Rhinolophus ferrumequinum: one gene and its partners. The protein of the gene in region 1 purifies or fractionates together with the protein of each later gene. This does not show direct contact. Links are inferred from orthologs where the notes say so. Each region holds a gene or a part of one and is shown in the gene's direction. Other genes may lie near its edges. The genes, in order: CUL4A, UBC, DCAF12 and DCAF7.

What was found.
Region 2: the proteins of CUL4A (region 1) and UBC purify together in Homo sapiens (affinity purification with mass spectrometry, with the first as the bait; 3 studies listed by BioGRID). This does not show direct contact. The link is inferred for Rhinolophus ferrumequinum from reciprocal best matches to the Homo sapiens genes CUL4A and UBC.
Region 3: the proteins of CUL4A (region 1) and DCAF12 purify together in Homo sapiens (affinity purification with mass spectrometry; 4 studies listed by BioGRID and IntAct, with this or other methods). This does not show direct contact. The link is inferred for Rhinolophus ferrumequinum from reciprocal best matches to the Homo sapiens genes CUL4A and DCAF12.
Region 4: the proteins of CUL4A (region 1) and DCAF7 purify together in Homo sapiens (affinity purification with western blotting; 4 studies listed by BioGRID and IntAct, with this or other methods). This does not show direct contact. The link is inferred for Rhinolophus ferrumequinum from reciprocal best matches to the Homo sapiens genes CUL4A and DCAF7.

The regions. Positions count from the first base shown.
Region 1 is NC_046287.1:55,720,147-55,728,183, forward strand, and holds the start of CUL4A (cullin-4A), read left to right. Parts: upstream 1-4,904; 5' UTR 4,905-5,383; coding exon 5,384-5,537; intron 5,538-6,493; coding exon 6,494-6,609; intron 6,610-8,037. UniProt on the Homo sapiens protein: Core component of multiple cullin-RING-based E3 ubiquitin-protein ligase complexes which mediate the ubiquitination of target proteins. As a scaffold protein may contribute to catalysis through positioning of the substrate and the ubiquitin-conjugating enzyme.
Region 2 is NC_046308.1:3,431,680-3,439,285, forward strand, and holds the start of UBC (polyubiquitin-C), read left to right. Parts: upstream 1-4,517; 5' UTR 4,518-4,522; intron 4,523-4,636; coding exon of another isoform or gene 4,637-4,751; intron 4,752-4,892; coding exon of another isoform or gene 4,893-5,030; intron 5,031-5,219; coding exon of another isoform or gene 5,220-5,314; intron 5,315-5,408; coding exon of another isoform or gene 5,409-5,482; intron 5,483-6,733; coding exon of another isoform or gene 6,734-6,831; intron 6,832-6,961; coding exon of another isoform or gene 6,962-7,047; exon of another isoform or gene 7,048-7,543; intron 7,544-7,606. Other genes in the region: probable ATP-dependent RNA helicase DHX37, read left to right, coding at 1-96, 1,252-1,358, 1,483-1,671, 2,485-2,609, 2,683-2,799, 3,684-3,856, 4,637-4,751, 4,893-5,030 and 4 more.
Region 3 is NC_046295.1:50,760,239-50,767,868, reverse strand, and holds the start of DCAF12 (DDB1- and CUL4-associated factor 12), read left to right. Parts: upstream 1-4,700; 5' UTR 4,701-4,732; coding exon 4,733-4,810; intron 4,811-5,435; exon of another isoform or gene 5,436-5,492; coding exon of another isoform or gene 5,493-5,552; intron 5,553-5,897; coding exon 5,898-6,152; intron 6,153-7,630. Other genes in the region: 39S ribosomal protein L32, mitochondrial-like, read right to left, coding at 4,272-4,700. UniProt on the Homo sapiens protein: Substrate-recognition component of a DCX (DDB1-CUL4-X-box) E3 ubiquitin-protein ligase complex of the DesCEND (destruction via C-end degrons) pathway, which recognizes a C-degron located at the extreme C terminus of target proteins, leading to their ubiquitination and degradation.
Region 4 is NC_046304.1:42,212,631-42,220,611, forward strand, and holds the start of DCAF7 (DDB1- and CUL4-associated factor 7), read left to right. Parts: upstream 1-4,843; 5' UTR 4,844-5,061; coding exon 5,062-5,199; intron 5,200-7,981. UniProt on the Homo sapiens protein: Involved in craniofacial development. Acts upstream of the EDN1 pathway and is required for formation of the upper jaw equivalent, the palatoquadrate. The activity required for EDN1 pathway function differs between the first and second arches.

The DNA.
Region 1 (8,037 bases):
TTCCAAAGATGTCACAGGGCTACCCCACCTTGCCCCCTGCATGCTAGCCTGCTCTGAAACACTAGAGGTATTGCAGGCAAGAAAGCAATCAACCACACACTTTAAGGATATAAAGCTTTGCTTGAATTGATGGTTTAGAGATAAATATAGTAGAAATGAAATAGAAATAAAAAGCGGTATTTCATTTGCTTTGCTCAGCTCTAGTTTCTGTCCCAATCAGGCAATGAGGTGGGCATGTTTCCTTGAAAAATCCAAGTCAATGGTGGGCTCTACATCCTGCTAAATGAAAGGCCACCGTACAGCCAATATGATGGTTATCAAGAGATTTTTTTTTTATGGTATCACACAATAGACATATGAAGACACGATCACAATACAATTTTAACTTTTAAAAACAAGTGTGATCCTTGAAATGAAAAACATGTTTATTAACATTTTAAAGTTTTTTAAATATCACATTTTTCACAGGCTTTACCAAAGTAAAATTATAAACACACTTTTCTACTTTTTCAAAGTAAATCATTCACTGCTTCAAGCATTAGATGATGTTAAATAAAATCCTTAGTCGATTCAGCAATTTCAAAATTTGCTTGTTTTACTTCCTCACCTTAAATGAGCTGCAAACATTTCATCATAAGGGGGTTCCAAAACTTGTTGACACTTCTCTTCTGGAGAAGCCAACTAAATTAAATATGAAGGAAAATGGCAAAAATAAAATTAACAATCATGGAAAGAATGCAATGTGTAGAAAGATATTTAAACAAACCTGTGTTTCAAAAGAAGTTACACTTTACAGTTAACAGTAACACTTTACACTTTAGCACTTCTAAACAAAAGGTTCATTACTTCAGCAAATATTCATCAAGCATGAACTAGGTATAGGGCACTAGATGAATACAATGTTTTATCTACCACAGGCTAGGAAATAGTGTAAGGCACTTTCATACATATCTTAAAGTTTAACAGCCAGTTAGTTAAGAAATATTTAGTAAGTAGCTACTATGTGCTTAATAAATAAGGCATATAATACCTTACATAAATAAGGTCTAATGAATTAAAGATGCCATGTTAGGAATCACTCCTCAGGTGCCTGGTGATAGAACCACCCTCTCTGTGCCCTGGGCTAGACTAGCTGACATTTATTTCTAACTCTGCCTTTCTTCTCAATGGCCAAATTTTAGATAATATGAGCATCCCAATGGGTTATATTTAGCACACTGAATTAAAAGAAAAAAAAGGGAATCAATGAGTCCACTCTGATACTGATATAATACACATATAAATGTGGGAGGGGAAAAATATCAAATTCAGAAAAATCATCATTCTACAGTCTCTAATGAAATAATTGATTCAGACAATGGCCACCAGTGAGTGGAACCATCAGATGGAAGGTTCACAGGGAATTTTATACTGAAGAACTCAGTCTTAAGAGTACAAATGGGCAAACAGATGTGCATGCCCCTGATGTAATCAATACGAAACACATAGCACCAACTATGGAGTGTCTGGCCAGCAAGCTGAACCTGAGTCTCATCAAGTCTCTGGAACTAATTTCTATTTGGAGCAATGGTTTTCAATATGTTCTGTATATTAGAACAACCTAGGAGACTTTAAATTTAAAAATAAATAAACACATAAATACATAAATGCCTGCTTCTACTCCCGAAACTGGTTTACACAGTTTGAGGTATAGCCTATACACTGCCAAATATAATCAGCAATGTAGAAGCTCAAACTCTAAACTTCTCTTAGGAAGCCAGATAGCCTGTAGCCCTTTGTGTGTGTACTCTTTTTACATACCTGAAGCCGTGGGTTGGCAACATGAGGATGCTTGAAAGATACCAGCTCCGCACAGGATGCCCCATCTCTGGTGTCGATTGCTTCATAGACCTGCAGCATTGGAGAAAAGAAAAGCTAAGTAGAAAATAAAACACTCTATTCTAATAGAACCTAAACAACACATTGTATAACACCAAAATTCATTTTCCCTACTTTGAAAGGGTCAGCATAATCAAAATATTATAGTCAATATTGTCTTTAGCCAGCAAACAATAACTATATTTCAAAATGAGATCGTCTGGAGGCAAATAAACAGGTGACTTACTGTGAAAAACAATGAGAGGGCAGAATAAGCCAGTTTATTATCTGGTTATTAATGAAGGTGATTTATTCTAGTTTTACTGGGTCACACAAGCAAACATTTGAAAATTCACTTACACAGCTTAAGGGAAAAGAAAGCGCTTATAAACCACATATTTCCAAAATTCAAAAGGCGGTTCTATTCAATCTAAATATAAAAGAAAAATTGGATGGCAATGGCTAAATAAATGGTGTCACAGTACGCTGTGAAAAAGAATCAAATAAATCTACATGTAATAACATAGGAATGTGTCCGCAATATGCTTTAAAAAAAGAAAGAAAACAGAAAAAAGAAAAAAAAGAGTCACAGGAGGGGCCAGCACGGTGACTCAAGCGGTTGGAGCTCCGTGCTCCTAATGCTGAAGGCTGCCAGTTTGATTCCCACATGGGCCAGTGGGCTCTCAACCACAAGGTTGCTGGTTCGACTCCCGCAAGGGATGGTGGGCTGCGCCCCCTGCAACTAGCAACGGCAAATGGACCTGGAGCTAAGCTGCGCCCTCCAAAACTAAGATTGAAAGGACAACAACTTGACTTGGAAAAAGTCCTGGAAGTACACACTGTTCCCCAATAAAGTTCTATTAAAAAAAAAAGAGTCACAGGAAAACTGCGTAACTTGATCTGGGAGAAAAAGACAAAGTATGTATGACACGCAAGCACAGAAAGAAGTGCAGGACCCCACGCCACACCAGCTGACCCCTTGGGGTGAGGGCTGAGAAGGCTTTTATCTTATATATTTCTATACTGGAAGACTGTATTATAGAAGACATTTGTATTAGAAAACCAAATGTTATTTTTAAATTATGTGTATCAAAGATGACATAAAAATTCCAACAATGTGAGGAGAAAGCCAAGCATAAAGTTTCATATATAGTGTAATTTATCTACAATAAAATTACATATATAAACTTTATATCCACGCAAGACTCTGACCAGGGACATCGTAAAGAAAATATCCAAATGGTACACAAACGAGAAGGTGCTCACATCTTACCCACAAGTGAAATGCAACATGATATCTCTACACATCTACCAGAAGAGTTAAAATTAAAAAGGTTGACCATACTAAGCACTCCAAGAATATAAAGTGACTGAAACTCTCATGCATTGCTAGGGAAGGGGTGAAGTGGCAGCCACTCTGAGACACTGGTGTACCTACTAGTGAGAGCATACACCTACTCCCCGATCCAGTAATCCTATGCCCAGGCACCTGCAGCCAGAAGAGATGGGGCATAAATCACCAGGACACCAAAAGGAACCAATTCCTCATCTGTTGTACCACTCAGGGAATCAGCTGGGAAAGTCTACACTACCCTATCTAATGAAGATTTTGCCACTTGACTATTCAACAAAACTATGTAAGCACTTACATTTTGAGCCAGCAATCCAGCTTTTAAGGATTCACTTTACAATATGGAATAAATTTGTGCAGGGTTACTTGTTGATGTATTCTGAGTAATCATAAAATATTGGTCCCATCAGTGCCCCTGCCTCAAGGAAGCTGATAAAGGATGCCAAAGTTCTCATCACTGGTGTGTGTGTGTGTGTGTGTGTGTGTGTGTGGCGGGGGGGGGGGGCAGAGATGGTGACCAACTATCTTAAAGAACTGGTTCTTAGTAACTATTCAACAAGCACTATCATTCTTCTTCTCATCATCACCCCAAATGGTTTCATCAAATAAGATAGACAATTGAAGGAGATTCTCATTGTGCTCCTCTGAGAATGCAGAGAACAAGACCAAGAGGTAGTTTGGTGAAATGGGAATATGAAAGAGTCAGACAGACCAGCACGAATACTATCTTTACTCCTCGCTAGAATGAGTAGGTCTGAACACTGGCAAATCACTCAGCTTTACCACCCAGCCTAGGGGCGAGCTTCACACCCTTCTATATGCCTCCACTTATCTAGTCGACAAATTACATTCAGCGTCCACATGAGTACGACACCATTCAAGCACCCTGAATGAAAAAAGGGAAAAAAAGAAATGGAACTAGGAGTGGGCAAGAAAACTGTAAAAGGTTAACAAAAACATAAAATTCTAGAGAGATTCTATAGTCATATTGGTTCTCCAATGTCTATGTCCTTGCTCAACTTAATGTTAACTCTGCAAAGATAAGGCCACAGTAGACCTATCCTAAGAGCTTTTATTTAAGGCTAGGTCTACTGTGGTAGCTATGAGTAGAGGCTAGCAGCCAGCATTACTTGCTATCTCCAACTCCTACTTCCACCAGTGTCTGTGCGAAACAAAACTCCAAGTCAGGCCCTTAGGTCAGGCTTTTGATGACTACACAAGGGCTGAACCCCTTACTTCTTCGAGTGGTTAACGGTCCCTTCAGCATCTGCTAGGACTAAGCTCCCCCCCACCACACACACATATATTCACGTCCCTAAACTGAGGGCAGCGACCACCGGCGTACTCCCGGGGTCCCTAAGAAACACAGTGGTGTGCCTGCCTCAGTCGTCCCGTCTGGCTAACAAGGACTCAGGCTACCTCGACCCCGGCCACGCACGCGCCGGCCGCCCAACTGGACCCCAAAGTCCAGCAGGCCAAGGGAAGGAGAAGACTCCGCAGACCGAGCGCGATTGGACCCAACGAACGTTACCTGCTGCAGATACTGGTTTATAGTGATGTGCGCCATGACGGTACCCACCCCCAGGACCGGGCGGAGCTTGAGCTCCGGGCCGGCCCGTCACTTCCGGTCCGTGGTCCGTTCTCGGCCCCGCGCCTCCAACCCCACTTTCCCCGAATTTCGGTTCCGCAGGGAGTATTTGCGGGAGCGTGATCTCCGACCCGGCATGGCAGCGCGCCCGGGCTGAGGAAGGCTGGGGTCTCTGTGCTGGGATTCCCCCGCCTCCCCTCGGCGAGGACGCCTCGTGCGCGCCCCTACAGTGCTCCGGGACACGCCGGGCCCCCGGGAGCTGTCAGGGCTTGCGCTCCGCCGTCCCCTCGACTGTTGCAAGTTTCACACGGACCGCGGCTGACGCGGACTGGCCGCGCTCGCGAGCTTCGGGGTCGTGGGCCGGGTCGGGCCCACGGTCGCGTTGGAGCTGGGGCCGGGGGAAGACCGGACGGCGGTTGGGCCAGGCCAAAGCGGCGTTTGGGCCAGGACTGAGCGGCGCTGACGGAGCCTGGAGTTGCTGAGGGGAAAGGAGAGCAGAGGCCCGGGTGCCCGGCCGCGCGGGTCGGGGAGGAGGCGGAGGAGGCGGCCGGACGGGGCGGGGCGCCCGCTGCTTCCCGGCCGCAGCCATGGCCGACGAGACCCCCAGGAAGGGCAACTTCTCGGCGCTCGTCGGGCACACCAACGGCCTCACCAAGCCCGCGTCCCTCGCCGCGGCCGCCGTCACCTCCAAGCCAGGGGGCAGCGGCGGCTCCAAGAAACTAGTGATCAAGAATTTCCGAGGTGGGTACAGGGAGCGGCCTAGGGACGGGAGACCTAGTGGGCCGAGGAGGAGAGGACAGCTACAGGGAGGAGCCTGGGGGCCGAGGATGGAGTTGGGGGGGCGGCCCGGGACAGAGCTGGGGGTCGGCCTGGGGAGAAGCAACGCGAGGGCTGGAGGTGCTGGGCGGAGCGGCCTCAAAGCACCAGTGGCGGTGGGGGTTGCGGGGGTTGTGGTCCGCTGGACCCTCGACTGTTCGGAAGTCTCCTTCCCAGTTGGCGGTCATTGGTCCCGGTTTTAGACTCTCAGAGTAGGGTGGGGGTCCCCGGGCTCCCCCGATGAGGGCGCGGGCCTTTCCGAATGTCGGCTTAAGCTGCGGTGAGGGCAGCGGGTTGAGTTTACTGGTAGCAGCTTTCTCCTTAATCTGTATAGTTGGTCCAATTGGAATAAAATAGGCCAAATAATTCAAGTATCTTGATTGGCATGGCAGAGCAAGAATAAGTAGCAGCTACTGACGCTCTTCGTGATGTAATTTTTATTACTTCCTCCACTTTTCATCAGTTGTATCACTGATGCTATCAAAATAAGAAGCACCTTTGATGTAGAGATAGCAATTATAAGCTTATTCTTCACCTTCCTCCCAACGTTGAACAATTTAACTCGACTTTAAATGTTGTATAGAACTTAAGTATTCCATGTATACGTTTGTAAAGTCAACTTATGTGAAAGGAAACTAAGATTTGTATATTTCCTGTGTGTTTTTATCCTAAGTATCAATATGAAGTGTATTTAGGCAAACAGATGTTACGGTTGCATAGTCTGTAACCTAACAAATTTATAAATACGATACTTTGTATTGAAAAAACCTAATTTGTGTTCCTTACTTGTGTCTTTTAAAGTACATTTTCATAGACTGTTTTTTGAAAGATTATGACTTAGCATAGATGTCATTCCTCACTGACTCTATCTGGATTTACAGACAGACCTAAATTGCCTGATAACTACACTCAGGACACCTGGCAGAAACTTCATGAGGCAGTGAAAGCCATACAAAGTAGTACTTCCATCAAATACAACCTGGAAGAACTCTACCAGGTAAGGCGCCATGTATGGGAAAAAGTAGAGCTTGTTAGAATCCTCATTGAGATATAAATCCTGAATTTTCTTAGACAAGGACATCTTCAGGACGTGATGAGGCCAGCATCCTGTGTCTCACTTACCTGGTTGTTTTTATAGTTGTCTAAATCACACGATTATCCAACTCTAGTGAAATGTGATACAGATGTGGATTATGTGGTCCTCAGTATTGTTTCAGAGTCAATAATGAAGGAAATACTAGAAATCCAAGTGTTTGCCTCCAACAAGGACAGGAGTCCTATGACAACATGTCCAGAGTCGATGAGTGTTCTCATTTTTTGGTGGTTTGGGGATTTTTGTTTTGTTTCAGGCTTAAGCTCCTAGAAAGATATCTAAAGTTATCCCATTACAGGAGAGAGGTGTGTTTCTAAGAGCCACATGACTTAATATTTTCCAAATACGCAGCAAATTAATGTTATAATTCCATTATGTTATATATAAAACTCTTATTATGGTTTCACTTGTTAATAGAGCTGTTTTTTCCCACTTAATTGTGTTTTCTGATTACTTGTTGCAATTAAAATGCAAAACAAATTTTGATATATTTAATTTAAAGTAATGATGTTCTATTTCTAACATAAAAAATGGTCAAAAGTACATTTTACTATTTGGATATTCCATTTACAAGCGGACTGGTTTTTCTGATACTTTGTTTTTAAAGAATAACATTTGTTAACTAATCTATTATTACCCACATTTTGGGTAGCAATATGATATCCTGTTAAGAAATATGAATTTAAAATTTTTTTCTGTTTACATAAGTGAGTACATTGTAAAAATTATGAAAACTACAAAAAGAGTACAAAGAAGAAAATAAAAACCATTTATTTTCCCACCATCCAAAGAAGACTACTGTTGACAGTTTGATGGATATATGTGCCCTCTTTGCCTTAAGTTTGTGTATTACATTTTTTCAACTTTATTAAGGTATAATTTTACATATACTATGTATTTCAATAAGTTTTAACAAATATATACAATTTTATGACCACCACCACAATCAAGATATAAACTATTAATATTTCCACCACTCCAAAAAGTTTCCTGAGGCATCTTTCCATTTAGTCTTCTCCACTGACTCCCAATTATTGGCAATCTGATTTGCTTTCTGTCGGTATATTTTGCCATTTCTAGGGTCTCATTTAAATGGATTTTGCAATCTTTTTATACTTGACATTTTTTGGGGGGGGGGAGAATATTGGGGAACAGTGTGTTTTTCCAGGGCCCATCAGCTCCAAGTCGTTGTTCTAGCCCATGTGGGAATCAAACCGGCAATTCTGTTGTGAAGAACTTGGGCGCTAACTAACTGAGCCATCTGGCTGCTTCTATACCTGACTTCTTTCACTTAGGGTAGTGCTTGTGAGATTCATGCATATACTATGTGAC
Region 2 (7,606 bases), on another chromosome or scaffold:
GTTTTCAGTGACTTTGAGCACTTTCCCCCTCCTGAGATCACCCGGAGGCCCGTGGAAGACTTGATCCTTCAGATGAAAGCTCTCAACATTGAAAAGGTCAGCCGAAGCCCCCAGCCTTACCATCACCTCACTGACCTCTCAGCGCACCCATGTCCGGGGTGGTCAGCGAGGGCGGCTCCAGGCCCCCATGGGGCAGCTCCCCCTCCCCACAGCCCAGAGAGCCCGGGGACTCAGCCTGGTGGTGCTTGTCCAGCCACCTGGGCTCCCCGCCTCCTGTGACCCCCACTCCCCTTGTGCTGTGCCCCTTGAGCACCTGCGGATTGGCTGCCAGGGACAGAAGCTGTGCAGCCAGAGGGCCCACCCACTGTGTGGAGGGCTGTCGGTGGCCTCAGGCTCACAGAATATTCTGCCCGGTCAGTCTCCTGGGGGGCAGGGGAGGGACGTCCTCATGTCCCCCTGTCCAGGGGTTGTCCGTCTCTTCCCTGCTCCAGCAGGGGTGGTGCAGTCGGAGAAACCCCGTACCCAGTGGAAACCCAGCCCCGGGCAGCCGCTCGTCTGCTTTCTGTCTCCGGATTTGTCCATTTCGGACATTCCATAGAAATGGAGTCATACGGAATTCGTCCTTTTGTGTCTGGCTTCTGCCACTCAGCGTGATGTTGTACGGGTCATCCACGCTGTAGCTCGTGTGGGTGCTTCATTCCTTCTATGGCCAGATCACATCCAGTGTGCTGTACGCATGAACCGGATTCTGTGTATCCGTTCGCCCACTGCTGGACACTGGGTTGTTTCCACGTTTTGGCAGCTGTGAACATGAGTGCACAAGGATTGATTAGAACACTCGTTTTTGATTGGTCCCTCTTTCTAAGGTGCCACCACCCCTGAGCCCCACTCCCTGTCCTGTCACCTTTTATTGTCGGGGCACGTTTACTCTTCCTTATGTGTTTGCTCCCGTCTACGGCCCCTTCTGGTTGAATGAAAGCTCAGTGGAGGCAGAGCCCTGGTCTTGCTTTTCTCAATCTCCTTTGCCAAGAACAGCCCCCGCGCACATTAGGGGCTCAGACCTGCTTCGGAGCGAGTGGCTGATGTGACCACATGAAGGAAACAGGCCTTCGGGGTTCCCTTGGCCCCTGGACTTGGAGGCTGCCCGGGGCCCTTTCTGAGTGGCCAGGCCTGGCCCGGCTCCCCCTTGCAGTGACCGTGCCCACTTCTGTGCCTTCAGTTCTGTCACCTGCGCATTTTCCTGTGTCCCAGGTCATCAACTTCCCCTTTCCAACTCCTCCCTCTGTGGAGGCCCTCATTGCTGCCGAGGAGCTGTTGATCTCGCTGGGTGCCCTGCAGGTGCCCCAGAAAACAGAAAGGTAGGGCAGGGGCTGGTGGGGGGAGCCCAGTTCCCGCCCCGTTCTTGGCCCTCTCCCCTCTCCTGAGCTGCCCTGAGCACCGGGGCCTCTTAGCTCTGGCGCTAAAGCCTCCTCTGTCCTCCAGGATGAAGCAGCTGCAGAGGTCCCGGCTGAGCTGCCCCATCACCGCGCTGGGCAGGACCATGGCCACGTTCCCCGTGGCGCCCCGCTATGCCAAGATGCTGGCACTGAGCAGACAACACGGCTGCCTGCCCTACGCCATCACCATTGTGGCCGCCATGACCGTGCGGGAGCTGTTCGTGGAACTGGACAGGTGGGGGCGGGGGGCTGTGCGTTCCGGCCTCATGCTCAGGCTGACGGGGTGCGCTGGGCTGAGAGAGGGCCTGGAGCCCGGCCTCTGAGGGAATAACTGGATCACTGGGTGGTCTTGTGCAAGACCCTCATTCTCCAGAGCTCCAGTGTTCTGGTCGCTACAGAACGTGTTCTAAGGAAATTCCTCGCGCAAAGCTGATACAAGGCTCTGTAGCATGATGGCTAAGAGCCCAGGCTCTGGGCCAGACTGCCTGGGTTCAAATCTCCCTCTGCTACTCCCCAGCTGTGTGGCCTTGGGAAGGTGACTTCACCTCTCTGTGCCTCATCTTCCCCATCTGGGAAATGGGGATGAGATGTTATTAATAACTGAGTTGTTGTTAGGGTTACGTTAGTTAACATAAGGGACTTCAAAGTATACCTGACACCTGCCTGAGTGTCATTACTTTCAGGTTTGGGAACCAGGGGAAAATTCGTTTATCCAGTCCATACTTGGTGTATATTTCAGCATTTTTCAGGGTTTTTTTTTTTTTATTACTATTTGTAAGCTGCACGGCATTGTGCAATGTTACTCATTTGTAGGATTGTGTCTTTACATTGATCTCTAAATGTGAAATCGTGGGTAGGAGGCATTCACATTTTTTATCTTGTTGGCTACCGGAGGTGAATTTTAGGGTAAATTTTGAGCCAGAGCTGAAGACCTTGATCATGTTAGCGACCCCACCGGGCATGGATGGTCTCTGTCCCTGAACCTGTGCGCCTCCTGCCCCTGTGGCCCTCAGCCAGGACGACAGTCAGGTGGTGTATGTGTTTGCAGACCAGCGTCCAGCGACGAGGAGCGGGCCACGCTGAAGGGCAGACGTGCCCGGGTGGCCCTGATGAAGAGGACCTGGGCAGGACGAGGCGCTTCCCTGAAACTCGGAGACCTCATGGTGCTGCTGGGTGTGTGCCCCAGCCAAGGGGGGCGGGCCCGTGGGACCTGGGGGACAGTCAGTGAGTGCGTCCTCGTCCACAGGTGCCGTGGGGGCCTGCGAGTACGCGGGCTGCTCGCCTCAGTTCTGCGAGGTCAGCGGCCTGCGGTACAAGGCTATGATGGAGATTCGACGCCTGCGGGGCCAGCTGACCACCGCAGGTACGGCCCACACACCCGCCTCTGGGGCTCCCCAGGACTCCTGCCACAGGCGGCCCCCAGCACAAACGGGACTAATGTTTAAAGCTCTTCTCATCGACGTTATCTGTGCACAGTCATTCCCCAGTTATCACAGGTCCCACGTGTACACATTCACCTCGCTGAGACTGATCGTAACCCTAAGTCAGTACTTGGCGCCTCTGCGGTCCTTTGAGGACCCGCCAGTGAGCAGGCGCGCACACCTCGGCCTCATCCTTTCCAGTGCGGTCCCTCGCGTCACCCTCTGTCCCTGGCTCTGATCTGGACCAGCTGCCCCTGGGCATCCCCAGTTTCACCCTTGGGTTCCCTGATCCCACGTAGGGTCTGACCCTGGCTTCACGGGGTCTCCAGAGGCCCACACATTTCTGGGCTGCTGTCTTGCCAGCCTTGCACGTGGCTTCCATCCTCGAGGCCACCTCAGGGACCGAGAAGACACTGGGAGATCTAATCACACCTGCTTTCCAGGCAGGAGGAAGGGGCCAGAGGAGCGTTCCAAAAATTCCAGCCGGCAACTCCATCGTCATATCAGGGGCAGGACCGAGTCCCGGCGCCACCCTGGCATCTGAGGGGGTGGCTTCTTGGCAGCTCACTCTGCCACCCACAGAGGAATATTGGGGTTTTGTCCTAAGGAAGAAGAGGGCGTGGCTATGGCGTGGGCAGCTGGTTCTGCCCCGCTGAGGGCTTTGTCTCCCGCCCACCCAGCAGCCTCGGTGGAAATGGGCTGAGAGGAACAGGTGCTGAGGCCAGAGCTCAGCATTGAGTGGTGTCGGGGCTTCCCAGAAGGTCAGCCCGAGACCGCAGGTCCCACCATTGTCCACTGCTGTCCTCACACCTGGCTTTTCCCCCAGTCAATTCTGTGTGCCCTGAGGCTGGGCTCTTTGTGGACCCCAAGATGCAACCTCCTTCCGAGAGCCAGGTGACCTACCTGCGGCAGATCGTGACGGCCGGCCTGGGCGACCACCTGGCCCGCAGGGTCCAGAGCGAGGACCTGCTGGACGACAAGTGGAAGAATGCGTATAAGGTCAGATTCCAGCTCGGGAGCAGGCAGCGTGGCAGGCGTTATGCCCGGGCTCCCCTCTCCACCCCACCCTCCATCTGTCTCGAGTCCTGCCAGCCTGGGCACTTGTGATGCCTGCCTCTGGGCATTGTCGGGACACCTAGAGCAGCCAGGGGACCCTTGCGGGGACCTGTCCTCGGTCCTGTCACTGCAGCCTCTGGGAAAGTCCCCACCAAGGAACAGGATGGGGTGTACAGGAGTCACACTTCCTTTGGGGATTAGCTTCACCCCAAGTCTATTTTCATAACTGCTTAATGGAGAGAGGAATCACAAAGTGGACAATTCACCATTTTAAAGTGTACAATTCAGTGGTTTTTAGCATATTCACAGAGTTGTATAACCATCACCACGATCAATTCTGGAATATTTTCATCGCCCCAAAAAGAAACCCCGTCCCCATTATCAGTCTCTCCATTTTCTCCTAACCCCCCACCCCCCACTCCGTGAATTGCCTTTTTGTCTCTACGGCTTTGCTGATTCCATATATTTCGTGTCAGTGGAAGCATACACTGTGGCCTTTTTTTGTCCTGCTTCTCTCAGTCAGCATGGTGGTGAGTGAGGCACGTGTCAGTACCTGTGTCGGCGTCTTCGCTCAGCTGAATACTGGTCCCCGGTACGGACACGCCGCTCGTCACCTGGCAGAATGCTCTTCCGCTTTCCCAGCCGCACGTGCAGCTGAATTCACATGGGTTCCTGCACCTGTGCTTGTGTCTGCGACACACACCACTCACCCTCTCTTTGCAGACCCCCCTCCTCGATGACCCTGTCTACATCCACCCCAGTTCCGTCCTTTTCAAAGAGCTGCCCGACTTTGTGGTCTACCAGGAAATTGTGGAGACCACCAAGCTGTACATGAAAGGTAGCAAAGCCGGTGGCCGGCCCCTCGCCCTGCTCACGGGCTCTGGGGAGCTGTGACGCCAGGGCCCTTGGTGGGGAGGACACAGCCCCTCCCAGACAGCTTGGTCACTGTCATCCTCAGCCCTCTCTCCTGGGCCCCCAGGTGTCTGCACCGTGGAGGCCCAGTGGATCCCAGCCCTGCTGCCTGCTTACTGCCAGTTCGAAAAGCCCCTGGAGGAGCCGCCCCCTGCCTACTGCCCCGAGAAGGGGCGGGTGTTGTGTCACCGGGCCAGCGTGTTCTGTGAGTTGGGGCAGCTTCCTGGTGGCCTTGGGCTCCCGTGGACACGGTCCCACACCCTACACTGGGAAGTGTGTGTGTGTGTGTGTGTGTGTCTCAGGTGGTGTCACCACAGGCCCCCGGCTCCGGCTGGTTCTGGGGAGGATGTGGGGGTCCCTCACGGTCCCTCGCTTACTGGCTGCTGCCGTCCAGATCGCGTCGGCTGGCCACTGCCCGCGGTCCAGGTGGATTTCCCGGAGGGCCTCGACTGCTACAAGCACTTTGCCCGCTTTCTGCTGGAAGGGCAGGTAGGGAGCCCGGTGATTCCCCGCCCCGTCCTGGGTGCTGTGGGCGGGAGGTGAGCCAGGTGACCCCTCACCCTGCCCTGTGCGCTCTCCTCAGGTCTTCCCCAAGCTGGCCTCATACCAGGGCTGTTTGCTGTCCAGCCCCAGCACGATGCTGAAGACGTGGGCCAGGTACAGCCTTTCCCGGCAGCACCAGGGTGGCGGGGGGTGGCGGCAGGAGCTGGGATTGGTGTCCTGGACCACCATAACCAGTCACCACCAACTGACTGGCTTAGAACAACAAATGTATTCTCAGTTCTGGAGGCCAGAAGTCTAAAATCCAGGTGTCAGCAGGGTTGGGGGCTCTAGGGGAGGCTCCTTCCCTCCTCCCCCAGCTCCTGGTGGCTGCAGACATTCCTTGGCTTGTGGCCACATCACTTTGATCCCTGCCACTGTCTTTACATGGCTGTCCCCTCATGTCCTCTCTTGTAAGCACATCATGGGTTCAGGGCCGACCCCACTTCAGTATGACTTCATCTGAATTGCATCTCCAAAGCCCCTCTTTTCAAATAAGGTCACATTCTGAGGTTCTGGGTGGATGTGGACTTTTGGGGAGACATTGGTCAACCCACTACACAGCTGCCAGGTGCCAGGAGGAGGTGTTCTACATGCTTGCGTCCCTAGGGGCTTCCTGCCAGCTGCGCACAGGCCCACCCAGTCCCGCCCATCACCACCATCCTCCTCTGCCCTGCCTGTCCCTGCTCCTCCCTTTTTGTTCTCTTTCCACCTTGGCCAGCTCCAAGTGGACGCCTCCCCCTCCCTGAGGCTGGCGTCTGGAAGGTGCACGGGAGGGGTCTTGGAAGCAGATGGGTGCAAGTCCACCCTCTCACTCCCTCACTCCAGGGACTCAGGAGGAGGGTGTGGGGCCAGGCGCCCCCTGCCAGGCTGCTGCCAGCCAACTGTTCACCCAGCAGCTGGTTTTGATCACCCTCTCTGCTGGGATACAGGCAGGACCCTGTCCCTGTGGGGACGTCCGGTGCAGGGAGACTGACACCAAACAACACAGCTAGTACACATGGCGGGTGGTGACGCGGCTACAGAGCAGGACGTTAGCGATGAGGTGTGGGGCCTGGGGGGGTTGGTCAGGAGAGCCTGACTGGGCAGATTCGGAGGAGGCCGCTGTGAGCCAGGTGGAAATCTGGAGGAAGGTTCTAGATGGGACGAGCAGCATGGGTGGGGGAGTGCTCAAGGAGTAGAAGAAAGGCCAGGGCGGGCGGACCAGAGGCAGGTAGGAGGTGGTGACGTCTAGAGCCTTCCATCGAGCCACGGCACCCAGCATGGTGGAGGAACAGGGATCCTTTACCCACCAAGGCAGGGCTGCCTGCCCCCTCCCACAGCGGGCAGCCCTGTGGGTGGCATAATGCCCTCCATCCCTTCCCACAGGCTGCAGCCCAGGACAGAGAGTCTCCTGAGGGCCCTTGTGGCCGAGAAGGCCGACTGCCGAGACGCCTTGCTGGCTGCTTGGAGGAAAAGCCCCAAATGTGAGTTTGACGGGCAGGTGCCCCTTAACCAGGGCTTGGGAGCGGATGGGACGGGGTCTGCCCAGGCAACCCAGGGTTGGCAGGGCAGCTGGGCACAGAGCCATTCTGACGCTGTCTTCTGCCCCTGCAGACCTACTGGCTGAGTACTGCGAGTGGCTCCCCGAGGCCATGCACGCCGATGTGGAGAAAGCCTGGCCCCCAACCTCTGACCTCTGACGTCTGACCTGGTGCCTGGCCTGCCGGCCAAGCACCACATGTGAGCAGCCAGTTTCTGACATGATACCCCTTGGCCCCTGGACTTCACCCAGGAGGCAGCCTCTGGAAACCCTCTTTCATCTTGGCCCGGTTCTGACACAGCTTGCTGCCTGCCGCCGTGGGCAATCTGCCCTGGCGGTGACTTTTTATAACTATTTATTACGTGGTGGGTAACAGTTTATCTCACGTGCGAGTCCCCTTTTCAATGTGCTCTGTGGACTACATTAGTCCCTTGTGGAGCTGGAGGGTGAAGTGGCTGAGAGCAGGAGGCGGTGACTGCAGGGCCTCCTCCCAGCGCCCCCCCTTTGGGGGTGCGGTACACCCACCCTACAGTGAGGGGGGCCCAGGCTCCTGTGGAGTGGGGCGCAAGGCGTGGGTGTCTCCTCCCCAGGGGCAGCTGTCGCCTATGTTGCTGTAATAAATCTTGGCGTGTGAGTCCAGTGAGTCCTAACGAATCTCTGAATGGGGGGGGTCTTGGGTACATCCGTATAGAAACTGGTCTGGGTGGGTCCTGCCCCAG
Region 3 (7,630 bases), on another chromosome or scaffold:
TTAAAGAATTTTTGCTCTCAAAATAGTTGATGTTCTGGATAAAATATTTCAGGTTTTAGAAAAAGAGAAAACATGAGAGTACTAGGAAAATGATAAATATCACTTTCAACTTCACGTGAACCTAGATATTTCATGTGGCAGAGTTGAAAATAATGAGACCAGAGTTCTCAGTCATCTGCCGACTGTGACTTGACATTTTTTGGCTTCAGTTTTCTGTAAAAGTATGAGTTTAATGAGATGAACTGTCTTTATAGTATTTTCTACCCTTAATAATCTATGCCCCAGGATCTGAAAAATATTTCCATAGCGGGTGAAATTACCATTCAAATGCCTCTGAGAACTAACATTTTTGCATCATAAGAGAGCAGTTATTGAGGGCTTGCCATCTGTGCCAGTTCATGCTCTTATGTCCTCCAGGTCTCTTTTCTTCCTATGTTTTTTTGTAATGGTTTATATGATTAAAATTCTTCAATCCTTGTTCCTAACAGAAATGCTTTCCTCCCGAGCCCTTTGCTAGCAAGTACAATTAATTAGCTCCAACAGATTAAGGGTAGAGGCATACAGGGAATTATGGCAACATGTGCTTTGTTTGCTCTGAGGAATCTATGCAAATAAACAAGTTACTAAACATGTATAATACAATTCAATTTGTCCCAAGTATTTTATAGTATTTTTTGCTATTTATTTTTTCTGGCAAGACCAAGCCAAAGAAAAGGCAAGAGGTGAGCAGGTCCTAGGGTCTCCTGCCCATTCATGGGCCTTCTGCAGTACAATGAATTGTGATGGAATCGTTCCAAGAACTGACTTGGAGAGGTAGGGGGTGAAGAAAATGGGAATTGTGGGGTTTTTTATTTAATGTGATAAAATAGTATAGTTTAAAAAAAACTATATGTGGATATATAGACACAGACACAATTACATACAAAAAAGACCTGGAAGATCACTCATCAAGATGTAAAATGTAAACAGTGGTTATTTTCTAGAAGGTAGAAATATGGGTGATTTTTGCTTTTTGTGTCTTTCTTTCCTTGTTTTCCAAGTTTCTATTTTGAGTATGTATTTTGTTTTGTTTTGTTCATTAGAAAAACAGTTGTTTTAAGTAATTTACCCAAGATTAGGGAAATGAGTTATTGCAGCATTATTTTCATAACAGTCTCTTCCCCATACGTATTGTTACCCTTACTGTGAACATACCTATAGGACTTTGTAGAACATACATTTGACTTACTCTTTGTTCAATCATTCAACATTTAGGGAGTGCATAAAATATGCTAGGTGCCTTCCCAGGCACGAGGGATTTGGAGATGAATCCTTGCCTTTAAGTAGCTCTCAAGTTAGTGAGAGGGACAGTGCCCTATAGAGGTATACCTCTTATCTTTTATACCATATTTTTACTGTACCTTTTCTATGGTTAGATATGTTTAGATACACAAATACCATTGAGTTAAAATTGCCTACAGTATTCAATACAGTAACATGCTGTATAGGTTTGTAACCTAGGAGCAACAGGCTATACCATATAGCCTAGGTGTGTAGTGGGCTATACCTGGACGTTTGTATAAAGTGCACTCTATGACATTTGCAAAACTACGAAATCACCTAACGATGCATTTCTCAGAACATATCCATTATTAAGTGGCACATGATTGAACTGAGGTATATTTATAAAACTGCACAAATCTTAAATGTACAGCTTGATAAAATTTTACATATGTGTACACTAGTATAAATCACCACCAAGATCAAGATATAGAAATTTCTAGTACACCAGAAGCCTCCCTAGGTTCTCCCAGTTAGTAACCACCAAGAATGACTATTCTGACTTCTATTACTGTGAGAGTGTGATATAATACAAAATAAATATTTTTGGTCTTTCTCCCTGGTTCCTGGCACGAGTGCCTAAAACTCTTGTAATTTCCTGAGTGATCTTAGTGAGAGGAGCATCTTTTGTCCCTTTCAACCATACCTGCATTTATCTTAATTGGGTGACTCAAGACGGACCCCTAAATAGCTTCAGAATGGGGGCTGGTTGCCAGAGGAACCAACTACGTGATCTGAGGGTTGGAACTTTCAGCTTCACCCCACAACGTCTGAGAAGGGGAGAGGAACTAGGGATTGAGCTAATTACCAATGGCTAATGATTTAATCAGTCATGCCTATGTAATGGAACCTCCATATAAACCCTACACTATAGGGTTTGGAGAGCTTCTGAATTGGTGAATGTATTCATGTGCCATGAGGGTGGTGCACCTCAAACTCCACAGGGACAGAAACTCCTGTGGCTCAGCACTCCGGACTCACCCTATTTATCTCGATCTGGCTGTTCATTTGTATCCTTTATATCCTTTATAATAAACCGGTGACAGTAAGTTGATTATTTACTTGAGTTCTATGAGCCATTATAGCAAAGTATTGAACCTGATGAGGAGGTCATGGGAATCCCAATTTATCTTTTCTACTATTAGTTGCATTTGAACTATTTCCAATTCAGGGCTATTATGAATAAAGCTGCTATAAATATTATTATAAGTAACTTTTGGTGGATATAAACACTAATTTATATTGGGTTTATAACCAGAAGTAGGACTTTTGTTTCATTTTTTGGCTTGGGACTTCTAGATCATAAGGTATACGTTTTAGTAGGTACTGCCATAGATTTTTCCAAATTGTTTGTACCAATTTACATGCCCACTAGCAATGTATGAGAGTTCCAGTCATTCTACCTCCTAATAAATACTTGGTATTATGTCTTTTAAAAGCAATTATGAATTTTTAAACTTTAGAAATAAAATAGAATGAAGATTCATTTGGAAGTTTAAAAGTGAGCTCTGCTGTGAGGTGCTTTCAGAGATAGTTCCTGGGATGTCAAGATGAAGCGCACCAACCTCAGGGAGGTGTCTGCAGCCTCTGACATGGGCAGAGACCAGAATCCAAGCACAGTGTGGCATGAGCCTAGAGATTCTCAAAGGAATTTCAGACTCTTGCCCAATGGTCTCGTGGGTCATCTAGGGCATTGTGAGGCAAGACAGAACTGGAACAACAGGCTCAAAAAAGGGAGGCTGACCCACTTCTAACCCATTCACTGTGTGCATATGTCTGAAGGGATAGTCCTGACCAAGTTAAGATGGGGCTGCCTTTCCCAAGGTGGGATTAGGGGTTAGTGGAAGTGCTGATTTGTGATAGCAGAGGATCCTGTCTCAACCTGGTCACTGGTCTCTGATTCAACTTGGAAAACAAATCCAAATCTCCTTGGAGGAAGAACTTCAGATGGGCCAACAAAGCTCCCTGGAGGTCTGAGGCCTGAAGCCTAAAGGGACCAGCAGGTAACCAGGCACTGAGCCTGAGGCTGGTCAGCCACAACAAGCAAGAGCATGCTGCTTCCTCACAGGGTTTTTTTGGGTGTTTTTTTGCCCGAGGAAAGTAGAGGCTGGAACTCAAATTCCTACGGGATCTTCTGACAATAAAGGCAAGGGCATCCTGAAGAAGCCCCCGTGTCTGGTGACCAATGCCAGGCCTAACTGTACTGAGAAGCCAATGGTCCCTCTCTTCTCTGTGGTTCAGAATTTTACCCCATCTGCCGTCATGAAGACACAACCGTGGCCCCCGGGGAAGGCAAGCAGTGGCAGTTTCCTGTTCCAGTCCCGGCTCAGGACTGCATGGGAGATGTAAGAAACATAAATTACGGGGTGAGGCCTATTTTATAAAGCACCGAAGACAATGTGTCCGGCAGGTGATGCGAATCGAAAGGGAGGCGAGGTTGCAGTAGCTAAGGAAAGGGTGACTGAGGGGCTGTTGCGGTTAGGGCAAAAGACAGGCTCAGGCGAGGGAGGAGGCTGAGTGGCAAACAGAGCCTCAGGGCTCCTCAGGTGTGGGGAGACAGCGACCTGAGGCCGGGCGCGGGGCTGGAGGGAGCGGGAGATGGGTGTGGCCCAGGCTGGTGGTGCGCGGCTGGGCAGGTTCTCCGTACCGGGTAAGTCGGGCCCGGCAGGCGTGAATTCTGTGCGGACTCCAGGGAATGGAGGGAGAAGGTTCTGCCTCTTCCCATAGTACCCAGCCCTTGGCGTCAGGGCGCGGTGTGTGATAGGTTCAGGGAAACGTGCGGCGCTCGACGGGAGATAACCAGTGGCGGCTACCGGGTAAAGGGTACGCTGAGAGGGATTCCTTCTCCAAGCGGGGTTAGTCGTCCTCACATCTGGGTGCCTCAGGATGAGCGGGCGGGGGTCCGAGGTCGGCGGCTAGAACCCAGATTCCTTTGGCCCCAGGTCACTCACCTCCAGCGGCCGCCAGACGACCGTTGGAAACCCGCCGAAAGCCGCTAAGCAACAGCCGCGAACTGTCCTCCAAGCTCTAAACTCCGCCCCTTTAGTCCTGGCAGCGTCTCCGTGGCGACGCACTGAGAAATGCGGCTGCGCCAGAGTGACGGAGCGCGGGTGAAGGGGAGGGGGTGTTTTGGTTCTAGCCGCTTGCCGTCCTTTCCCCACTCGATCGTCGGGACGCTTTTCATTCTTGCCTTCCCTTCCCCTTCCTTTTCCCTTTCCCAGCCCCGGTCCTCCCTCCCTCCTTCCCTTCTGCCTTCCTCCCCTTTTTCTTCTGCCGCCCCGGGTCCGGGCCATTTTCCGGGCCGGGCACATTAAGGTGCGCGGCCCCGGGGCCCAGTATATGACCCGCCGTCCTGCTACCCCTCGCTTCCCCCGCCCCATGTGGCTGCGGGGCTGTGGCGGCGCTGCCCACTATGGCCCGGAAAGCAGTTAGCAGGAAGCGGAAAGCGCCAACCTCGCCGGGAATTGGGAGTGACGCTCAAGGCCCGCAGGTGAGGGCTGAGAGGCTGGGACTCGGGTGATAAGACCAAGGCAACGAGAGGGGTATAGAGTTTGCAGATCAGGCAACCGGAACCGGGACCCAAGGTCTGTAGTTGGAGGTGGGGGTGGGGCAAGAGCGGAGTCCCGGCTTACTGGGTCAGGATTGGGCCCTCAGGATTTCACTGAAGAGCAGATAGGCCGGAGGGTGGAAGAGCTAAAGAGGAACTTGAAAATGGGGCATATTCCGCGGGAGGCCTGCAGCCTGGAATGGGGCTGGAGGAGAAACCAGAATCTGGGCTTTGGAGGAAGGGAAACCTAAGTCGAAGGGAATCGGGAACAAACCTCCTAGAAGATACGGGGAGGGAGATTAAAAGTCCGCCTTACTGGGGCCCCCCGAGAAGCGGGGATGATTAGGAAAGAATCTCCCTAAGAATACTCAAGTGAGCTAGTACTTGGACCCCTAGAAGAAAACAGCAATTCCCAGGTATCATCCCTATACTCCCTCTTTGGAGAGGAAGACCTTGTAGGACGCGTATTTGGACTCTGATTTCCGGTGCCTCCCACCCCGTTGGTGTTTGATTTTTCGAATTCTACAACTGCCTGGAGCGCGGGGCTGGTGACAGGGGGGCGGCCATTGATCGTTCATCTTGGAAGACGTGGGACCCCAATCTGGCTCCTTGGGCTGCGTTCTCCATGCTCCGCAGGAAGTACAGGCTGAGAGGGAGAAGGGGGCTGGGTAGAGATGGACCCCAGGTCGGTATGGTAATCATTTGGCGCCACTTTCCCTTCCCTATCAGATAACTTTAGGGAATCTGAATCTTTCACTCCTAAAAGGCCTAGTAAACCTTTGTCCTCTGCTTCCATTCCCCGGTCTTTAATCCGTTTCTCATAGGTAGGTTTGACTATGAGCAACATCTTTTCACTGTTGGAAGAGTTAAACTGGACTATCTGGGTTGAGATTCCTCTTCTAATCTGTTTGTATTTCTTTTGTATATAAATCCTGCAGGATGAGTTCTTCGTGATATCTCTAATACAGTAGGATTCCTTGTTCTGAACAAGGGTAGTCAAAGCCTTGATTTCTAATGTTGCTTTCCACAGTTTGGCTGGGATCACTCCCTTCACAAAAGGAAAAGACTCCCCCCAGTGAAGAGATCTTTAGTGTACTACCTGAAGAACCGGGAAGTCAGGCTACAGAATGAAACCAGCTACTCTCGAGTGTTACATGGTTATGCAGCACAGCAACTTCCCAGTCTCCTGAAGGAGAGAGAGTTTCACCTTGGGACCCTTAATAAAGTGTTTGCATCTCAGTGGCTGAATCATAGGCAAGTGGTGTGTGGCACAAAATGCAACACGGTAAGTGTCTGGGAGAGATGTGAACTTTCTCCTGGGTCCCGGGTATGTGGCTCCACATGTTCTAGAACCTCTCACTGCTCGTTTTCCCCATCAGTTTCTCTTGTGAGGAGGTTGCCTTACTCTCCTTTCCATTCCCTTCTGTTGATGACTTCTTCCTCTCTTTTTCTGCTTCTTTTCCCACTTCTACATTTATTTTCTGATGCATTTTCAGAGGAGTCTTATTTCTTTAGGTCTTTAGGTCTTGCCATATGGAAATGCCACTGCTTCTAGATTCTTTTGGCCTCATCTTTTTATGTTTCTTTTTAAGTTAGAGGCCTCAGAGGAAAGACTTAGGAAACAATGGTGCTCAGGGCATCATTCAGGATACATGATAGTGAAAACTTAGGTGTTACCTGCCAGCCTAAGGCCACATGTAGAAGTACTTAAGATAGCACTTGGCAAACATTCACTTTTAGGGAATACAATCAAAAGATGTATTTCTTAGGAGAATGGGCAGGGAATGTGTGTCTGGTGGTATACACGAGTATTTCAGGATGTACATGTTTGTTCTTTGCAAAGCAGTCTCCTTGAAAAGGATTTAGAAGAGAGAAAAGTTGTTTTGACATAGAATGACTTAGAAGACACTTATAAGTAAATGAAGGGAAAAATTTATCAGTAAGTTACATAGCCAGCACAATTTCAGGCATGGATAAAATAAGTCAATCCATAATTAGATATGGTGGATATAATTGGAACATAAGGGCACAAATAGCATGACGTCAGAGGAATGGCAAGTGAAAAGAGGCAGGGTCTGGAGATAGAAAATGATTCTGAATGAAGCGTGTGAAAAGATCAAATGTAGGCCCAGCTGCTCTCTCCATTTTCCTCTCACCTGTGTGAATAGACGTGTAATGTCATAATGCCTGGGTAAATTTACCCTGGACAGAAACACATCTTGGATCAATTGGAAGAGGGAAGGTTCTGTGGATCAAGAAAGTCTTTAAGTACTAGCAGAAGCGTTTGTTATAAAGGACATGGGCAAAGATTTAAAGATGAGTTTTAAGGAAGGAAATAATACCATGGTGATTGGGGCCAAGCTTTCGTTTCCTCTTCTGTTGAAGGTTGCTTGTCATACAGAAGCCTTTCAAAACTAAATGGTGGCGGCAATCCTCTACAAAACTTCATTTTCCTAGTCTCTCAGGCCGCCATTTGTGGTTTAAGAGAACTGTCGTCATTGTCACTTGGAGTAGAGAGTCCCTTATTTGGAGGAATTCATTCCACTCCCCAAACATACCATTGTAGTGTTTTGCCCGGCAAATGTTGTGAAATTGTAACCTGAAGTAATCATCCTAGTCTCCTCTTTGCATTTATTATTGACTGTTTTGAAGGTGAGAATAATGTTAAATAATAATTTAACCTACTGCTAATACGTACCTCTCTCTGTCTTCTATGTCCTCCTGACCCTAAGTGGGGGCCTCTTTTCTTTTTATAGTTAGTGT
Region 4 (7,981 bases), on another chromosome or scaffold:
CAGGCCCCTCCAAAGCTGGGGCCCGGGTTCCCCTGCCAGGGCTTCAGCTTTCTGGGTCCTGGAAGCCAGACCTCTATGGGGGCAGGACCTCATACTCCAGGGCACCCAGGTAAGGAGATCCACTTCACCTGCTATGTGTTCCCAAAGCAGGAGGGGCATGGGATCAGGGCTGTGGAACCAGCTAGAACAAGCTCAGGCTTTCCTTTCCCTCTTGCAGGTGCAGCCCCTTCCCTGAGCCTCTCAGAGGCATCTGGGCTCTGGCCTGAGTTGCTGCAGCAAGTGCCCCCAAGACCAAGGCACAGCCCCACAGACCCTCAGGGAGACCCAGACTGCTGGCCTCAGGAGCTAGGCTCCAGGCTAGAGCAGCTCCAGGCCCAGGTGAACAGGTGAGTGCCCTGCAGGACAGAGTTCTGGGCTGCAGAGAGCAGGCCCAACGGCAGGCTAGGCACAGGTGCCCCCTCCTGGTGACTTGGGGACATTACTGGATGTCCTATGAATTTCAGAATGGCTGACAGCATTTAATAGCAGGCTTCCCCATCCCTATGTCACTGAGCACAATTCCTTGGATGGCTTGTCCCAGCAAACCCCAGAACATGCCAAGGAAACTTTCTTAGGGCAGGGGCATAACCTCGTGCAGAAACAAATTCCATGGGCCCTTGGAACGGGGATGTGGCCTGTGGATGGCAGGGCTGTGGTGGCAGAGTGAGAGGTTAGGGGCAGAAGAGTCCTGAGTTCAAATTCTGGCTCTGCAACTTACAAGCAAGAGTGTGGGCAAATCACTTAATCACTCTGAGCCTCTGTTTGCCCTTTTGTGAAATGGGGATAATCAGAATACCCATGTCAAAGGTTCTTTATGAGGCCTAAATGATGTGTGCATGGTGCTTGGTCACCTTTATTGACAGAGGGGAATTTGGTGCTAAGGGGAATTTGGGGAGGGGCTGCGGATGGTAGCAGGGAAATAGCTTCAGGTAGGCCCCAGGCTTCCATTCCATCCAGCAGGAACAGCATGTAGGCTACAAAATGGAGAGCTGTCTTCCGGACCTAGACTGCTCTTACCAACCCTGACCCTGACCTTAACTAACCCTGATCTGCCCCTGACTGTGGGGTTCTGTCGGGTAGGCTGGAGTCCCGCATGTCCTCAGAACTCAGCCGCATCCTGCAGCTCCTTCAGCAGCCCCTGCCCCAGGGCTGCACTGGCTACATTCTGGGAGCCCCTGCCTCCAATGACCTGGCATTGTTTCCTGCGGCCTCAGAGACTCAGAGTCCAGGAACTAGGCTGCCCCAGGGCGATCTGCCCCCTGCACAGGTGAGCAGGTGAGGGGATCCCCAGGGGCTTGCCTAGAGGCAGCTGCATGCCTTCCCCCACCCCCAACTTGGTCTCAGTGTGGCATCAGGCCCAGGGCCTTGTGGCCTGAGAGCAGCCATGGCTTCTGCTGTCCTTTATGGTCCAAGTCATGACAGGGCAGCCTGGACAATTAGTGGCAAAGCCCAGTTTATGACTGAGACCCCATAGCTGGGGCAACGGTAAGAACACATAGTTCCTACCAATTCCCAGCCCTGAAGTCAGGGTGGCCTGGGGTGGGGGCTCCCCACACTGCATCCCTCACTCTTTCTTGCCCCTCAGACCACAAGCTATGGTGACTTGGACAAACATGGGCCGAAGCGCAGGAACTCCTCCCCCAGGATGCCTCACCTGGTCATGGCACCAGACAAAACTCTGACACTTTCCTCGGAACTGGAGCAGCCTGAGGGGCTCCTGTCACCCCTGGCCTCACCTCTGCGTGCCCTGGAGGTACAGGGACTCATCTGTGGTCCCCGCTTCCCCTCCCTCCCTGATCACCTCGGCTCTGTCCCCAGGCAGCTGGAATTCCAGAGACATGGCTCAGATCCTGGATTTGTGGGGAGTTAGAGCCACTGAACCCCAAGATAAAACACACCATGAGGGGATTAAAGGTGGGAGAGGTAAGAGTTACATATTTGGGGGAGGTAGACAGCCGCCAAAATCGTCCTCTGAAAACCATTCTCCTAGAGTAGCTACAAACGTCTAACCCAGGTGATCCAAGATGGCAGGGTAAGAAGGCTTAGGATTTTCCCAGACTCTTCCAGGGCTTTGTGTAGATAGCAGGCCTGGTGGAGGGTGGGTGAGCCTCGGGCATGGAGGAAGCTTACTGGACAGAGGGTTCAGTGAGGAAAGGAGAAGTTTCTGATCTTCTGTGTGAGAACTTTGCTCTAGGCTGGGTGCAATCATGTCCTGGATCAGAACTACCCACCGCCTCTTGGCTCAGCATCCAAGGTTGATCAGACTTCCTGCTGAGAGCCTGTGACCTGGCTGGAAATGAAAGTGTCCTCTGTAGTGGACATATCGGGGCACATAGCTCCAGCCCTCAGCTGCTTTGCCTCTGACGGTTCTGTGATGACCTTTGGGACTCTAGCAGACAGTGGAGTGTATCACAGCTAATAAAGTCTGCACATTTCACGTTGGGCTGGGTGTGTAACTTACCTGCGGGTTATCACGTCCTTGACTATGCCATGACCCCAACATCTTGTTGTCTTCTCCAAGCCCTTCTCACCGGAGGTGTGTGTTAGGCACCTAAAGGTGGCTCTGCTGGACCCAGGAGCACCTGGATCACGGGGCTTTTAGCCAAGCTGGAGTGAAGGGAAGCAGAGAGGTACTGGCTTGGTTAGCATAGGGAATCATGACAATAGCCACCACTTTCATAACACCCTGTGCCAGGCACTGTGCTACCTGCTCTGCAGATATTAGTTCATCTAATCCTCACAACAATCCTATGGGGTCAATGTTATTCTCCCCATTATAGAGAAGTGGGATCAGAAGCAGAGAGAGACTAAGAAACTTACACAAGCATAAAGGGGACCTCTGGGGGGGAGCTGATACTGTTCGGTTTCCTGATCTAGATGCTGGTTACATAAGTGCGTTTCAGGTTGTGAAAATATGTACACTTATACTTCAATTTAAAAAACAGAATTTTGCCCAACAACACAGGAGAAGGAGGATGTAACTTCAACCCAAATGGTCTGGCATGAGAATACATGCAGTTAACTACTCCACTGAAATAGGCTGTTGCAAAAAGTACCCAGTCACTGGTATTCAGTTCCTTTTGCTCCAATATTTCCTGAATAATTTTGAAAATGTATTTGCCCCCGCACATATTTTTAAATTGACATCTGAAGTATTTCAGTAATAAGTTTAAATAGCTGTAAAGGATGTAATTTCCAGTGTGTTGTAAATATTGATACTTTATAAACTGTTTCATTTATATTGATTCATTTTGATCCAAATAGCATAGTGATTTGAGAACCAACATCATTAATTTTAAAAACACTACAACAAACTCTTCTTTAACATCATTCTTTTTACTCTTTTCAAAATTCCATTCTATTCCTTCCAATTTATGCTACACCTAATTTATTTTCATGCTTTAAAGTCTATTATTGATAATCTTATCATATCTCTTTGCAACACGAACACATAAATTGAAAATATATAAAATGAAAAATTTAATTTTTTGTAATCTTACAAAGGCTTTCAGGGTTATACTTATTAGTTCAGAGTTTTTCAAAACAACACAAATATATCAAATTTTTATAAAAACTAAAATTTTATTGGAAATGCATCTCTTAAAAGAAGGTATTTTACTCTCAATTAGTTCATATGTGTGGATGAATATAATTTTTTATTAGAATAAGACAAGCTTCAGCAATACTTTTGTACCTACTTTTCTATCCTTTTTAAAAAACTTAAACACAGAGTAAACTTGTTCACATAAGTAGATGGGACTGTAAGGAGTTTGTTTGCATAGCAGTGCCACTCAATTCTTTGAATACTGAGTTATCTAACAACTACATTTATCATTAAAAACTGTAGTTGATGATATCATCTAATGTCAATACAATCCTCCTTTAATTCTGTTTAAAGCAAAGAATTGGAAGCCATTTAAATTGTAAAGATTCAGACATTCTCCATTCAAACTCACAACACAGATAAATTTAGCGCTTGATTAGCATTTGCCTTGGGATCCGAAGCGGGGAAAGGATGGAATGGGAACAGAAAGAAAACAAAACAAAAAGAACTTATTACCAAGCTGGTCGGTCGCTGCCTACTGAAGGGCCAACCCTAGAATTCCCAGCATTTCTAGAATGGACAGGAAAGCGCGGGAAGGCCTGACTGAAGCTGGCCTGGTCCTGATTACATGGGCGGGTTAGTGTGCAAAAGGCTTGTCCTCGGCCTGCCCTTGGGGTACTGGAGAACAAGTCTCTCGGCTTAAAGGGAGCGTTGGTAAGAGTGAGGAGGAAAGGTGGTTCCCATTTGGCTGGTGGGCCAGAGTGCCAGGCCGAGGGGCTTAGTGCCGCGAAATGCAACAGGCCCTTGAATAAGGCAGAATTTTAATTTTTACTCGACAGCATGTAGAAGCCGCTCGGAACAACAGCTGCAGAGTGGAAGTCAAAGGAGGTTACACAAGAGGTTTACCACTGTCAGAGATTTGGCCTAGAACTTGGGAGGCCTACTACTCCGCCTCTATGCCACCCACGCCCCCATTCACCCGCACTGCGCCGTTATCTCTTTGACTGACATTTTTGTCAGCCAATGACCTTTGGGGCTGAGAAAGCGCCTGCCCCTTGGAATTGGGCGGTGCAAGTAATTGGAATGACAAACATTTACACCAATAGCGAGGAGGTTTCAAAAGCTACCGGGTACAATAGCCAATGAGAGTAAGGAACCGTTCTAAAGGACGTATCAAGCAGCCAACAGCCGGCGCCGCTGCGGGGGACGCGTGACTTCCGTCCCGAGAGGGCGGGGCAGCATCTCAAACGGAAGGTGGTTATCGCCCGAGCCTTAGCAGTTTTGAAACTGGGGGTCGGGCTCGGCTGTCGTTGTCTGTCGCTGCGGCCCTGCTTCCGGGCTAGGCAGTCCCTGCCCGCCCCCGCCCCGCCTCCCTTCGGACCCCTGGGTCCCAGGCCCGACTCCCCCACCCGACTCACGCACCGCTTGCCGCAGCCCGCTGCCGACCCGGCCCGCACTGCGGCCCGGCCGCCGCTACCATGTCCCTTCACGGCAAACGGAAGGAGATTTACAAGTATGAAGCGCCCTGGACCGTCTACGCCATGAACTGGAGCGTGCGGCCCGACAAGCGCTTTCGTCTGGCCCTGGGCAGCTTCGTGGAGGAGTACAACAACAAGGTTGGTCGGGCAGGGCCTCGAAACTCAGCAGGTAGGGGGCGGGGCGAGCGGTCCCCTGGAGCGCCCTTTCCGGGCCGGACCCCCGACCTCAGGACCCTTCTGCGGACTTGCCTTTAGCACCATGGAGTTGTTCCTCTAAGTCTCGTCCTGAGCAGAGGGTTTCATATTCGTTTCATTTAATCGTAGCAGCATTCCTGTATAGTCGGAGTGTAGTTAACCCGTACTCCCATTTTACCGATAAGGAAACAGAGGTAAAATGTTGTGACTTGCCCGAGTCAGACATCTGTTTCGTGGCGGAAACAGATCTCAAACCTGAATTTACACCCAAAAACTACGCCATTTATCACTTGTATCTCCCTCTCTCCTGCCGCATTGCTTCACGTGGGGGGCGGAGGAGGGAGGGATTACTGAAGGAAAATGCTGGCGTCTCAGTTGGTGGCCATTCACTCCTGGCTACACTCGATTTCTCTTGGCTGTCTATTGCGCAGACTTCCCCTCGCTCTTCTCCCACCCCCAGGTACTATTCTTGAGGATACCCAGCCCCTCTGCTAGGATTGCCATTGCTGCCTTATTACCCTCCTCTTCAGTGCGATCTTTTTAAAAAATCTTGGCCAATGGCCTTGCTTTCACCACTGTTTACTGAATTAAGAAGGATGACACTTGCCACATCTTTTCTTGGCTTTTTCATGCTAATGTGGATGTGTAATCCTGAGTAGTAAGTATCTGTCAATTTGAGTAAGCCTTCATAGAAGCATCAGTAGCAAGGCGAAGCTTGCACGCTGGCAGTACAGCATAAACTTGTTTTTGAAAGTTGTTGAATAAGTCAGCGGGAAGAATTTTCTGGGCTTTACCTCTTAATCTCTTCCTTTTGTTGTATTAGAGTAAACGTTGTGATTGTTAGGGATCACAGCAATTGAAAGCCTTGGCTAGTGTGTTTAAAGCCAGTACTCCTGCTTGACTATGTGAACACGATGACTTAAGAATAAAACTGTGGACAGTGACAGGACAGAGAGCTAGCAGTTCTGACCCCTAGTTTGTTTTAGGAAAGGGGTTCTGTAAAAAACATTTGAATAATGTAACTTTGTTTACAGTTCTTCAGGAATACAGCTGTTTCTCTAGTGTTAGGTCTTTGAAATCCCTTTGCCCCTTTGAGAAACCGATGAAAGCAAAGGACTCTCATTGCCCCCGACACTACACATACACAGTTTACAAACAAATACCAGGGAGTGCATCCACTGAGGCCTACCTGATCTTGAAGTCCACCCATTACCCACAGAAAGCAGAGAGTCCTGGCAAGACAATTTTATTTTCTTTTTTCTGATGCCTTTCTTCCTGATGGCCATAGTGGACAGCAGAGCTGGGAATGGAATTCATGATTGTGATGTGGAAATCGCATTAGTATAATTAAGAGCACTAGAACTATTGTTTGAGGCAGGGGTGTCAAAACTGCGGCCCTCGGGCCAACTGCGGTCTGCAATCCATTGTTAATTGGCCCGCAGCAAAATCCAAAAATATATTTAGTTTACTTAAATAAAGCAGGTGAGGCAATACGTACTTCACCTCGAGTGAGAGGCCTGGCTGTTTGTGTATTTTACCGTATATGGCCCTTGGTGAAAAACGTTGAAAAAAGTTTGGACACCCCTGGTTTAAGGATACATGTTAAAAAAAAAAAAAATGTAAACTATGTATTTTAAAGAGCTTGAGTCTTTTCACCCAAATAGATGTTCTTTTTCCTTGCACATTTTTCCAGGATTAGTTTGGGTAAGCAATAGTAATTACATTTCTAAGAGAGGACAGACTGACCCACAATTAGGCTGCTGGTGAAATTAGTGGAGTAAATAGTGTCAAATCTCAGTTGCAGGAACTTTACCCCAAAGTTTGTACTTCCATTTAGCAACCATATGAGAGCTCCTTTGTGCCAGGCTTACATGCAATGTGGCCTTAGTAATATAATGCAAACTCATGATTCCAGTGGTAACAGCTAAGCAGTTAACTGTGTTTTAACTTGTGTGACATAGGTGATCAGCATCTTAAAACTACTTTTGTGCCCCCACGTATGTAGGTCAGGGTTTGTAACGTGTGTTCATCATGCCCTGGACACCTTTAGCAATCTGAAGCCAGTAGACATTTACTCTTAATTATGTTTTCAAATGCATCAAATACATAGGATTATGAAGGAAACCAATTGTGTTGAACTATAGTTATTAAAAACATTTTTTTAAAAGTGATGATAGAATAATATGTAACTCGTTACACCATCTGGTGTAATTATTACTGTATTTTTGAAGTAGTGATAAAGGTAAACAGCATTTCAAGATGTTTAACAACTGTAATGTGATATGAAAAAAATCAGTGATTTGTATTTGTGACAAAGTCACAGGTATTCATGCTGCTGTGAGGAGCCATCTCCATTTGTAATTGAAAGAAATGCTAAATTTCAGCTAGTGGTTAGTGAAAATATGAATGTAATTTTCTAATTCAAGTTCATAGACCCCAAGTTAAGAAATCCTGCTGTAAAGGATCTGTGCCGAGGGGCTGGTGGGCAGCAGTAATTCTCAGGGTCAATTTTGGGGAAACCTTGACATGGAGGTGCCAGATTCCATAATTTGCAAGAATTTAAAAATTATTGGTTGGAATTTTCAGACCTTTGGTTCCTGCTTGCCCTCGATAGTGATTGCCAGCAGAGGACAAAATAAATGGACATAGCAAATTAACATTGATGAAAAGCCCAGAAATGGTCTTTTTTACTGTGGAGACATTGACTATAAGAAAACTGTTATAA